Linked DNA regions of Drosophila melanogaster. The protein of the gene in region 1 interacts with the protein of each later gene in a pairwise test. Each region holds a gene or a part of one and is shown on either strand. Other genes may lie near its edges.

Region 1 (3,754 bases):
TACGCCGTCCACGACCACAGTTTCATCCGCAGCCTCTGCCTTTGGCCAGCGTACGGATGACCTTGAGGAGGAGCGACTGCAGCGTGAGACCAGCAGCGAAGAGGAGGCGACCAATCAGGATGGCGAGGCGGAGGAGGAGGATGAGGAGCCGGAGCAGGATGAGCAGGATGACCTGCAGAATGCCCTGGACTCGGACAGCAACGAGAGTACCGACTACCGTCACCAGCGGCAGTCGCAGATGTCGCAAATGTCGCACAGCCGCCGGACAGCGGGAAAGCGCAGCGCTGTGCCGGCCACGCCCTCGCCCACGCTGCCGCCCACCTACCATTGCCGGGGGGAGGGGCTGGCCGGACGCACGACACGTTGGAGCGCGCTGCCGGCGCCGTCGTGCCGCGGCAAATGGCTCCGTCTGACCGTCGGTCCGCCCAAGAAGTGCGGCCACGCCCAGTTCATCTTCGTCTAAGGCGACGTGGTCATGCCGCCCACTCAAGTTGCGGTGTCCATTTTTTTTTTTCTCCGTGTAGGTTATGGTGTACGGTCTCCCCCACTCATCATATCATATCATATCACCCGCGCCCCTGCCACGCCCCCTCACTTCCGGCCCAAAATCAATAAAGTACCCCATCGTATGTAAGCGTTTAAACATTAAGCCAGTGGATTAAGAAGATCATAGCATATGTATGTATATGTATGTGTGATGAGGTCAGGATTTTTTTTTTTGTTTGTCTCGCTAGAGAAGAGAACCGGAAATAAAGGATACACTGCCAGTGAAATATAGGGTATATATGGAGGAATATCACATATTTCTGAAGTTTTCGAGGGGTTCTACAATTTCGGACTACTAACTTCTGCTCTCTTAGATACTTTATAAATTTAAAAAAAAACTTCCAAAGACTTATGATCTCCTCCACACACATGATATTCATCATATAACCATATTGATATCACGGCTGCTGTGGACTTCCTTCGGTTAGCATTTCTCTAATTAGTTAAGGAAACACTCGCGTGTAAGCATTTGGGCTCAGGACCCAATCAACAACTCAATATAAATGCTGGGGGTCTGTGAAGACGCTCGGATCTCGGATCGGATAATACTAGAAACTAGAGACTAAGTCATCAAATACCGCATAACATCTACAGTGAAAATGGAGTCGAGCTGCGTAGTGAAAGAACCTATATATACATGTATGTGGATGTGCACGAGTGTATCTGTCTAATCGTTAGTTCCCCCCGACTCGCAAGCATATAGCACACACACGTTCTACACATAACATAACATATATGATACATTTGTCAAAAGCAAATGATTAAGGCCCACAATTTTTGGTTACCCAACTGGCAGACAACCCTCTGGAGTCGGAATTAACGTTTGGATCTTAGTATTAATCTGGATTTTAGGTACACACGAATGTCGAAATAATTATTATAATTATAATTAAACCAATAATGAGATCATTCAATAAAGAACGAGTATAATTTTAAAGTAAACCAATGTTGTCTTTGAACATTTACCAATCTAGAGTCTTGAGCCATCCTGGTTTATCTACAACTTGTTTGGTGACTCGATCGTCAGTGCTGCACAGTGGGTCGAAAGTAATTGTAAAATAAAATAAAATAAATAGTTTTTGGGCATATAAAAAGAAACATTTAATAGTTAATGCTATTAAAGCATTTAATAGATTGGATATGTAGGCATATAGATCTTTATAGTATAATTACATTATTAATTTAAAATTGTTTCAGATTTTATTTATTTCCTGATTTTGTGGTACAAGTTTTCCTAGTTTTCTTCTTTTTCAAAGTGTAGAGTGGTCCATAAAAACCATATCTGGACCCACTGTGCTTGAGTACTCAGCTGTTTTGGGTTTACCGGTTGACCCAATTACCACCAATGGTCGGTTAGGTGCCTTTCAGCGCTCTTTCTCTGGCTTTGCCTCTCGGCTTCGAGGCTTGAGTTCACGGTGAAGGCCAGAAGAATGACAGAGAGAAGAGCGAAGACTTGACTTGACTTGACTTAAAGAAAGAGTCGAGAATCGGCCAGAGGCAGCTGGTCCGACGAGGCGGCTACTTGATTAGTCCCAAAGCGATCGCAGACCGAGACGGACCGACGACAAGAAGCTGCAGTCTTAACCGTTAAAAGTAATTCTTTTGCATTTGCATTCTTCAAGTTTCATTTCTTCTCGCCAGTGGTGATTCATCAAGAAATCGGTTGTTTGGTTGTCGGGTTCTCTGTCGGCGGTGTGATTCCCGTTCTTTTTGGTTCGGCCGCGAAGAAAGTTGTCTTCAAACATGTTAATTGCGACGAGGGGCCGTGGGCCGTCGATTTCTTTTAACGGTCTAAGTTTGGCCAAACGAAAACACTTTTCGTTTAAGCCGATAATCGAAAACATCTAGACATTTGACAAGGCCTACACTTAGGTTTTCTTTATTCAGTCATAAAGTTCAGCACATTAAGTTGGTTTAAAGTCTAAGAAACTTTTTTTGTGAAGAGGTCGTTAGATCCGACTTAGATGATCTTGCTTTTTATGTACACATAAAAGCCATTATTTGCAGGGAATTTTAACGGAGTAGTCAAACGTATAATATTAATAATATTATATTTATTAATAGAAACAACAAACACTTATTATATTATTATTAAATCGGACTTAGATATGTTGTCAGACAAAAAGGCGGCTCTCCTGCTGGTGACCGCGATTACCGCCCTCAAATTGGAGGAAATGAATGCCTATAGACGCAACTTCGATGCGCGGCAAAGTAGTAATTCGAATATTCCACTCTGGAAACAGCGAGTAAGTTGGAGAACCTAACGTTCATAATTTTCTCGAACCAATTCCGAAAATATTCGATTACCTAAGGCCTGTGAGAAATCACAGAAACAGCGGCAAAATGCACACTATGTTTGCGATGAAAAAGGTGACTTCAAGTGCCTTCCTGGGTGGCAGGGTGATCTTTGCCAGGTGCCTATGTGTCGAAGGGGCTGTGACCCGATGAATGGTATGTTTACTCCTTCAGATGATTCCCTATCTTGTGACCCCTGAACTCACATTCACACAGGTTATTGCCAGCGACCCGGTGAATGCAGGTGTCGCATCGGATACAGCGGCGAACTCTGCGACAAGTGCATTCCGCTTCCAGGTTGCCAACATGGCGGATGCACCAAGCCATTCGAGTGCATCTGTAAGCCTGGCTGGGCGGGACTCTTCTGCACGGAACGTAAGTAGTTACCGGAAAAGGATAAGCCTGATTACAATCTTACATTTAAAGAACGGAGCATTTAGAGAAGGAGTTAAAACATAGGGAACTAATATCGTTTTGGGGGTTGTACTTGTTATATGACATTTCCAATCAAATCAAACATTCCTAACTCTGTCCAATCCGATTACTCAATTGCCTGTTTCCTCCAATCCGCGCGCAACCAAAGCAAGTTGCCGTACCGGATGCCACAGCACCCGTGGATATTGCGAAGCGCCTGGGGAGTGCCGCTGCCGGATTGGTTATGCTGGACGCACCTGCTCCGAATGCGCCACGATGCCGGGCTGTCAGCACGGCACCTGCAACAAGCCACTGGAATGCCTCTGCCTACCCGGATATACCGGACTACTTTGCCAGACGCGTAAGTCCTGCAACCACCAAAGGAATCCGCCATTCACCCTACTAATCCCAAACTCCATTCCGCCATTCCAGCAATCTGTGACCCAGATTGCAGCAAGCAGCACGGATATTGCCGCAAACCTGGCGAGTGCCGGTAAGT
Region 2 (3,754 bases), on another chromosome or scaffold:
TTACAAATAATTCATGCGAAGCCAAAGGGAATAGGCATAGCCACATGACCAGTTCAAGTTCCGAACCTATAAAACCGCCAGTAGATCCGACCAAAGTTCCTAAAAAGCGCGGTAGAAAGCGAAACACCTGCGTGCCACAGGTGGTCAAGCGATCAGCGGCTGAGATGGCGCTTAAGGAGCGCGAGGAGAAGCAACTGACGCCCGTGATCACTAAACGGAAGAAAAGGGATGTCACCGTAAGTACAAGTATTATTATGATGTAGTAGTTCCTCCTGGAAAGTACTAAGTTCATAAATCTCGAATGGAAATATATATACGATTTTATTATAAATATCTTTCTTACAGCAAGCGCAAAACTTCGAATCATATCAGATCACGAATAAAACCCCTGTACGCCGAAACTCTACCTTGTCGGATATATCGTTCAACTCCGATGAGTTGACCCGGGTGGAAAACTTTATAAGCGGAAACACCGAGGACCGCATTATACGCATCATGGCCAACGAATTCAGAAAGTCGCACATAATGTCCGAAGAAGGATTGCTGTAAGTATTCATTTAGCCGAATAAGACCATCATCATCGTAATGATATCATCTTTTCACATGGCACTTCAGACCCATTCACGAGGAAATACTGCACGGCGATGTTTACGGCGTTAAGCGTCAGATATTTGTGTGCTGCCACGCGAAAATGGACATCAACGAACTACTCACCAGGGACGGCGAGGACTGCCTGGAACTTGCGCTGACGAACGACACGGACACCGAGATTGTATCGCTCATCCTGGACGCTCGCATGATGACCGACCACCTCTACGAGAACTCAAACACAGCTCTTCATCTGGCGGTGATAAACCATATAAATATAGAGTCCATTAGGCTGCTGTTGCGCAGAATCGATTTGAACAGTCTTCTGCTAACCAACGATGATGGTTATACAGTTTTGCACCTGGCAGTGCGCAATAACCAGTTCCTTGTTGTCGAGGCAATCCTTGATAGTATAGACGAGCGCGAGCTGGGGGAAACGGTGTACAGGAGAACCCTGGAGGCAGCGAATCCGAATGAGTGGGACGAGAAGGGCTTCGCCAAGTACTACGATCGTGCCTGCGAACGGCTGGAGCTGAACAAGACGTTGCTAAAGAACCGTGCACATAAGCGGGATGTCATCAATGCATCCGAGGCGAGGGGCGGAAACCCACCGCTTTTCTACGCCGTGGAAGGGGAGCAGGGTAGGTTGCTGTCTATTAGTATATTAGTAGTTGAAGAAGTCCGATTAAGCTTTAAAGTTTCCTATTTGTACAGAACACTTGTGCTACTTCCTGCTTGCGCACTTGGCCGATCCCGACGAGGAGAACTTAAGCGGGCATTCCCCGAAATCGTATCACTACGAATACGCTCGCACGTTGCGCATCAACCTGAAAGTGGCGCGCGTCATGGAGAAAGTAATTAGCATACTGAATACTTGACATAAAGTGTGCATTCTGTAAATATATTTAGCCCCAACTGAGTTCAAAGTCGGTTTGCTTGAGTTTTTCCGGGTTAATGGGTTGCAAGGAAGGGGGTAATCCCTTTCGCAGATGAGTTTTCCAGGGCCATCTCTTGCATTTGTTGGTTTTCTTTCGGGATTTTCTCTTCTTTCTAGCGAGAACTGAAAGTTTTCAAGAAGAAGTTATTTTTCGTTTTAAATCTGCGTTTTATCACGCACCCAACTTCTCCAGTTCCCGTAGATTATCGCCACTATAGTGGGTAAACTTGCAATATGTTTCAAACTTGCAGTAACTGCCAAAGTATCGCTTGCAAGGAGTTTTCTGCCGCTCTTCAGTCAAAATCTTTTTGGGATCTACAAATATTGAAAATTCAGCTTTTTCGGGAATATCGTGCAACAAAAGCTTTACCCTCGTAACGCTTCAAATAGTTGCTCTTTGCAATTGCGTGTGCAATACCACCATTGTGCAATTTCCTCACATTCAGATCGTTTTTCAGAAAGCAACAGCAGTAGTCGCAATAATAACTTTTGCCACCCATTTAAATGTAAACAAAATAATACAATACTTTTAAGCGTAGAGATGGCAAATGTTATCAAGCCGTTCTCGATAGTTTTCCGGAGCATCGATAACTTTACCAACACTACCACCTTCATGAACCTTTTTGATATCGAACATTTTGAAAACAAATTATTATCGTACAATAATTGTCTGTATTCGACCTATTTAAAAATTAGATATACAATTTTTAAGGACATTACATATTCCGAATACCCAGAATTTTTTTATTTTTAAATTTATAAATTTGGCCGTTAGAATATTCAGAAACTATCGTCTATTGACCTCAAACCCATCGGATCGGTCCACCACTATCTGAGTGTGCGATTTTTTCGCACCGAATGGCAAAATCGCTGACAGCCGGCAAACAAAGTAACATTTCTTGACCGCAGCTGCTTGAACGGGATAACAGGAAGATCAGGACACCAAGCATGGAGCCATCGTTGGACAACTACAAGCTGAGCTGCGAGCTCCTGGGCCACAGCATGGATGTGCGGGCGGTAGCGGTGGGACCTCCAACTCCGGAAGGTCGCCAGACCATTCTGTCCGGTTCGCGGGACAAGAGCACCAAAGTCTGGAAGCCCCATGGGTGAGATTTGGCTGGGTCTGGTCGCTATGAATTACATACATACTAAACTGCCTTCGATCCTCATAGGAACGAGTACTTGGAAAGCCTTACTTTGCAGGACCACAAGAACTTCATCTCGTACATCTGCTTCCTGGAGTCGGAGCGGTGGATCTGCACGGCCAGCAACGACGCCACCATCTGCATCTACAAGCAGGACGGCTTTGTGCCCCTGTTGACCCTCAAGGGTCACGAGTCCACGGTGTGTGCTCTCTCGGCAGGATTGGAGCCACGAAGCCTCATCAGCGGCAGCTGGGACAAGACCGCTCGGGTGTGGACCATCAGCGAGGCGGGTGATGTGTCCTTCGTTGCTTTAGAGGGACACGAGGCGGCGGTTTGGGCGGTGGCCACCTTGAAGGAGCAGCGGAAGTATGTGACTGGTGGTGCGGACAGGAACATCTACTACTGGAACGCGAAAGGCGAGAAGCTGCGCCTGCTTAAGGGTCACACGGATTGCGTGAGGGGTGTCATGGGACTGGATGCGAACACACTGCTCTCCTGCGGAAATGACGCTGTTCTCCGCTTCTGGAACGAGGATGGTGAGTGCGTGCGCGAGATGAACGGACACAGCAACTACATCTACTCCATGGCTCGCAATGAGGCTCTGGGCGACCAAGTGGTGGTCTCCTGCGGCGAGGACAGCACGTTGCGCATGTGGAATGTGATCACCGGCGATGAGCTGGGAGCACCCATCATCCATCCCGGCATTTCAGTGTGGTCCGTAACGTGCCTACAGAACGGGGACATTGTCACCGGCTGTAGCGATGGTGTGGTGAGGGTATTCAGCCACGTTCCTGCTCGCCAAGCAAGTGAAGCAGTCCTTAAAGCCTTCGACTTAGTAGTGGCAACTAGAAAGTCTCAGATTAATGAGGAGATTGGTGGCGTCAAGAAAACTGAGTATGCTACAAGTGGATCTGTCTTATAGAACTAAACATATGGTTATCCTTCTTCAGCCTTCCAGGTCCGGAGGCTCTTCTGTCCAATGGAACGCGCGAGGGTCAAACGAAGATGGTGCGCCATGCCGATGGTTCCGTGAAGTGCTACACCTGGACGCTGGGTAACTGGAACTTGGTAGGCGATGTAACTG
Region 3 (3,754 bases), on another chromosome or scaffold:
TAAATTTTTGTCTAAGGACCAACAATGACTGTGACTTTATTTTGTCACTGGGGTTTTTGGGTTGGAAACGCTTGGCTTATTAATTATGCCCAAGTGCGTGGCCAAAGGATATGGTCATGGAAAAAAAAACGTAAACAAATTTCATGCAAATACGCTCGAACTTGTCTGGCTTGCGTCTGCTCGGCTGGATGACCTTAGTTTGCATAATTTTTTGATTGAGCTCTTGACCTGCCTCAAAGGGGTCTAAAACTATGCTAAGTATTTTGTGGTGGGTGTTTATGGGATTCTTGGGCTAGTTATGTGTGCCAGGATTTATTAAATGAGAAAATATATGAGAGGGTAGCTTTGAACATTTTATGCATTAATTAAATATATTTTTTAAGTGGGAAAATTCTGAATATATGTTGACATATTTAAGGGAAATAGTGGGAAAATAATAAGTAATTTTTTTTTTAGAAAGGTAAATTTGGTTAAATAAGCTATTTTATGTCTGCATATATACATTTGACGGCAATTGGCTTTGAAGGCGAAATAGATTTCCATTGATTGTGTGCAGAGTTTCATTCATTCATTGTTTTAGGAAACATAAACTTTTACGGATATTTTTCATTTGATTCTTCGCATTGTCCCATAACGCTCCGCTAAATCAAAAAACTTTAAAACTGCACAGCCAGAAACAAAAGTCAGTATTCCAATGATAACTTTAACGATGGCAATTCCTTTAGCTATGCAAATGTATCGCTAGTTTCGCATTAATTTCGCAAAACTGATCATAGAATCAATGAAACTGACGGATGAAGTGAATCAATATCTTTTGTCAGTGAAACATAATTTAACTGTAAAGCAGTCAAAACACAGTCACAAACACAATGAGCAAAAGAAAGATATCAAGGTGGAAAAGAAAGGTATATTTTATGTAGGCAGCCAAACGAAACTTATATGCATATGAAAAAGAAAATTATAAAATATTCATCGGTAAAATGGTTATTTTTTTAAACGAAAATTTTAAATATCATTTCATACTAAACACTAATTTACTTTCTTTAATTTAATTAAGCTTCACTCACACATATTATAAACTGAAAAAATACAAATAAGATTTTCTTATATAACACATTGGTTAAATATTTAATGGGACACGGTCTATATAAAAAATATTTTCAACAGAATTCAGCGAAATTTGAATTGTCCAAATTCAAGTTCAAGATTTATTTATTTTTCATATTGATAATCAAATATTATTTGCTCTTAAATATTTTTACTATGCACACTTTTTTGGATGAACGATAAATAGTTAAATATTTAAACTGTTTATTTGTTTAATTCCTTTTCTACGCCACGTTAGTAATATGTTCTTCAAATCGCAATGGCAACCACTCCAGATGTCCCCCCTCCCAAACAAACACACACACTCACAAAGCCAAGGGAAAAGTTGTCTGGCCAAGGAGCTGCAAGGAACTGAAACAAAGCTCCCCGAACGGGAGAGAGAAGTCCTGGACGCAAAAGCTCCAACTGGGAGATGGCACTACGTGTAATCCCTGTGTTCCCGATAGCTGGACTCGAAGAAATCGAGAGATGCGCCGTCGCCGTTCATATCATCTCTCGCCCTCTCTCGCTCGCACTGGGCACTGGGCAATTAAAAATGTCACTCTGCATGGGAATGCACTGAGGGAACTTCGTAGAGCCGGCTCTGGTATTATTTTTTCATCTCATATATTTTTTTTGTTTTTGTTGGTTTTGGGGGCGTAACGCTGGAATACAGCGAGCCCAATAGAGCGCAAGTCTCCCTTCCAGTTGCTCGGTAGAGCGTCTATCTCGCTTGCCGCACCAATGGCGGTGCTGCTCGCACACATGGAACGCTGGAAGGCCAGCGGACAAACTGGTTTCGCTCGCCGGGGTGTGTGTGCGTACTGCGCTCGTTGGTGTGCGTAAACGTATCGGTGTGACGTACCGCCGAGCGTCGAGAGCGCTCAACGTAGAGCTGCGGTGCGAGACATGACGTTAGTTCACTTCGATAGCTCTACGAGTCTGCACGTGAATTTTCCCTGGGCTCTCGGCTGTCTTGACTGCTCAAATCTCACAACACACAATCTCAAATCTCAATCGGCATCGAATCGGTCAAGCAACCCAGTAGAAACACACATTCGAGAAATCTCAATCTGTATCTGAATATCAGAGTTCTGCGTTCTGACCACTGAGTTCTATCGATGATTTAAATCGTTGCGAAAAATCGCCACAAAAAGTGCCAAGTGTTAGAAGTGCTAAATGAAATTCGAAAATAAAAAAATCTAAATAAATAACCAAATAAAACGCAGTTAGCTCAACGCTAGTCAAGCTAAATAAACGTGAAACCCCAAGCAAATTGCCGTCGGATTTTTTACTTAACCCAAAGCTGAAATAAACTTGTTGAACGCGTTCGAGGGCCACGCCCCCAAAAAAGCAAACGTCGAACCCAAAAAAAAACAAAATAAGCGAAATAGAATATTTTTGCGCCTGCCACGTTGCCCGTAAAAGACGTCAAGACGGTTGCCTCACGGTTCGAGTGGAATGAGCATAGGGACCCTGGTCTTCCTTTCGATCGATCGGTGTACAAAGTCGTTAAACTGAGCCCCAACTTGGAGCCCTACCCCGCCAGCGTGGAGGGCCTGAACAGCCCCAGAGCGGTGGGGATGGCCGCGACCTCGTACATGACGCCGCCGAGCGGTGATCTGGACATGGCCCTCGGAGGCGGTGGCTATCACACCTCGTCGCCGCGCTCGGCGGCTGATGCCGGTGAAATGAAGTACATGCAGCACCATCATCATCATCATGCCGCTGCCGCGGCAGCTGCCCACCATCAGTTGCCCTCGTCGCCATCGCCCAATGGCCAGGGCAATGGTGGCGGACTTGGATTGGGTTCCGGTTCCGGGTTGGGCTCATGGAGTGCCCTCCATCCGGATCCGTGGATGCAAACCCATCATACGCACCATCTGCCCGCCGCCGCTGCCGTTGCCTCGGCCGCTGATACCGTCAAGCAGGAGATGTCGCATCTCTCGCAGCAGACGCGCATCCAACAGGGCATGGCCTCGCCCCATGCCGCCTGGCATGCCCCCCATGCGGGACACTATGCGCCAACGGGCGGGTCACCGTTGCAGTACCATCATGCCATGAACGGAATGCTCCATCATCCGGCCCATGCGGTTGCAGCGGCCCATCATCAGAGTGTGGCGCCACTGCATCATACGCTGCGCGGGGAATCGCCACAGCTGCACATACACCATCACATGGGCGGCGGCGATCGGGATGCCATAAGCGGCGGCGAGGAGGACACTCCCACGTCCGATGATCTGGAGGCCTTTGCCAAGCAGTTCAAGCAGCGCCGAATCAAGCTGGGCTTTACCCAGGCCGATGTGGGCCTGGCACTGGGCACTCTCTATGGCAATGTGTTCTCCCAGACGACCATCTGCAGATTCGAGGCACTGCAGCTGAGCTTCAAGAACATGTGCAAGCTGAAGCCGCTGCTGCAGAAGTGGCTGGAGGAGGCGGACTCCACAACGGGTTCACCCACGTCCATTGACAAGATCGCCGCTCAGGGGCGTAAGCGCAAGAAACGCACCAGCATCGAGGTGAGCGTGAAGGGGGCACTGGAGCAGCACTTCCACAAGCAGCCGAAGCCATCCGCCCAGGAGATAACCTCGTTGGCCGACTCCTTGCAGCTGGAGAAGGAGGTGGTACGCGTGTGGTTCTGCAATCGGCGGCAGAAGGAGAAGCGCAT

The links.
Region 2: the proteins of C901 (region 1) and Plap interact in a two-hybrid assay, tested with the Drosophila melanogaster proteins (one large-scale study listed by BioGRID).
Region 3: the proteins of C901 (region 1) and vvl interact in a two-hybrid assay, tested with the Drosophila melanogaster proteins (one large-scale study listed by BioGRID).

What each region holds. Positions count from the first base shown.
Region 1 is NC_004354.4:10,965,453-10,969,206, reverse strand, and holds the start of C901 (C901), read left to right. Parts: upstream 1-2,072; 5' UTR 2,073-2,139; intron 2,140-2,652; 5' UTR 2,653-2,654; coding exon 2,655-2,792; intron 2,793-2,858; coding exon 2,859-2,997; intron 2,998-3,057; coding exon 3,058-3,216; intron 3,217-3,424; coding exon 3,425-3,616; intron 3,617-3,687; coding exon 3,688-3,748; intron 3,749-3,754. Other genes in the region: vex (vexed), read left to right, coding at 1-463.
Region 2 is NT_033779.5:1,168,505-1,172,258, reverse strand, and holds the start of Plap (phospholipase A2 activator protein), read left to right. Parts: upstream 1-1,893; 5' UTR 1,894-1,895; coding exon of another isoform or gene 1,896-2,025; 5' UTR 2,026-2,031; exon of another isoform or gene 2,032-2,078; intron 2,079-2,179; exon of another isoform or gene 2,180-2,300; 5' UTR 2,301-2,473; coding exon 2,474-2,631; intron 2,632-2,697; coding exon 2,698-3,564; intron 3,565-3,620; coding exon 3,621-3,754. Other genes in the region: charon, read left to right, coding at 1-236, 346-545, 616-1,229, 1,303-1,466; CG31922 (uncharacterized protein), read right to left, coding at 1,494-1,648, 1,706-1,840, 1,896-2,025.
Region 3 is NT_037436.4:6,788,157-6,791,910, forward strand, and holds the start of vvl (ventral veins lacking), read left to right. Parts: upstream 1-2,001; 5' UTR 2,002-2,669; coding exon 2,670-3,754. UniProt on the Drosophila melanogaster protein: Binds to a DNA sequence element required for the expression of the dopa decarboxylase gene (Ddc) in specific dopaminergic neurons. Could also play an early role in specific ectodermal cells, and a subsequent role in the embryonic nervous system.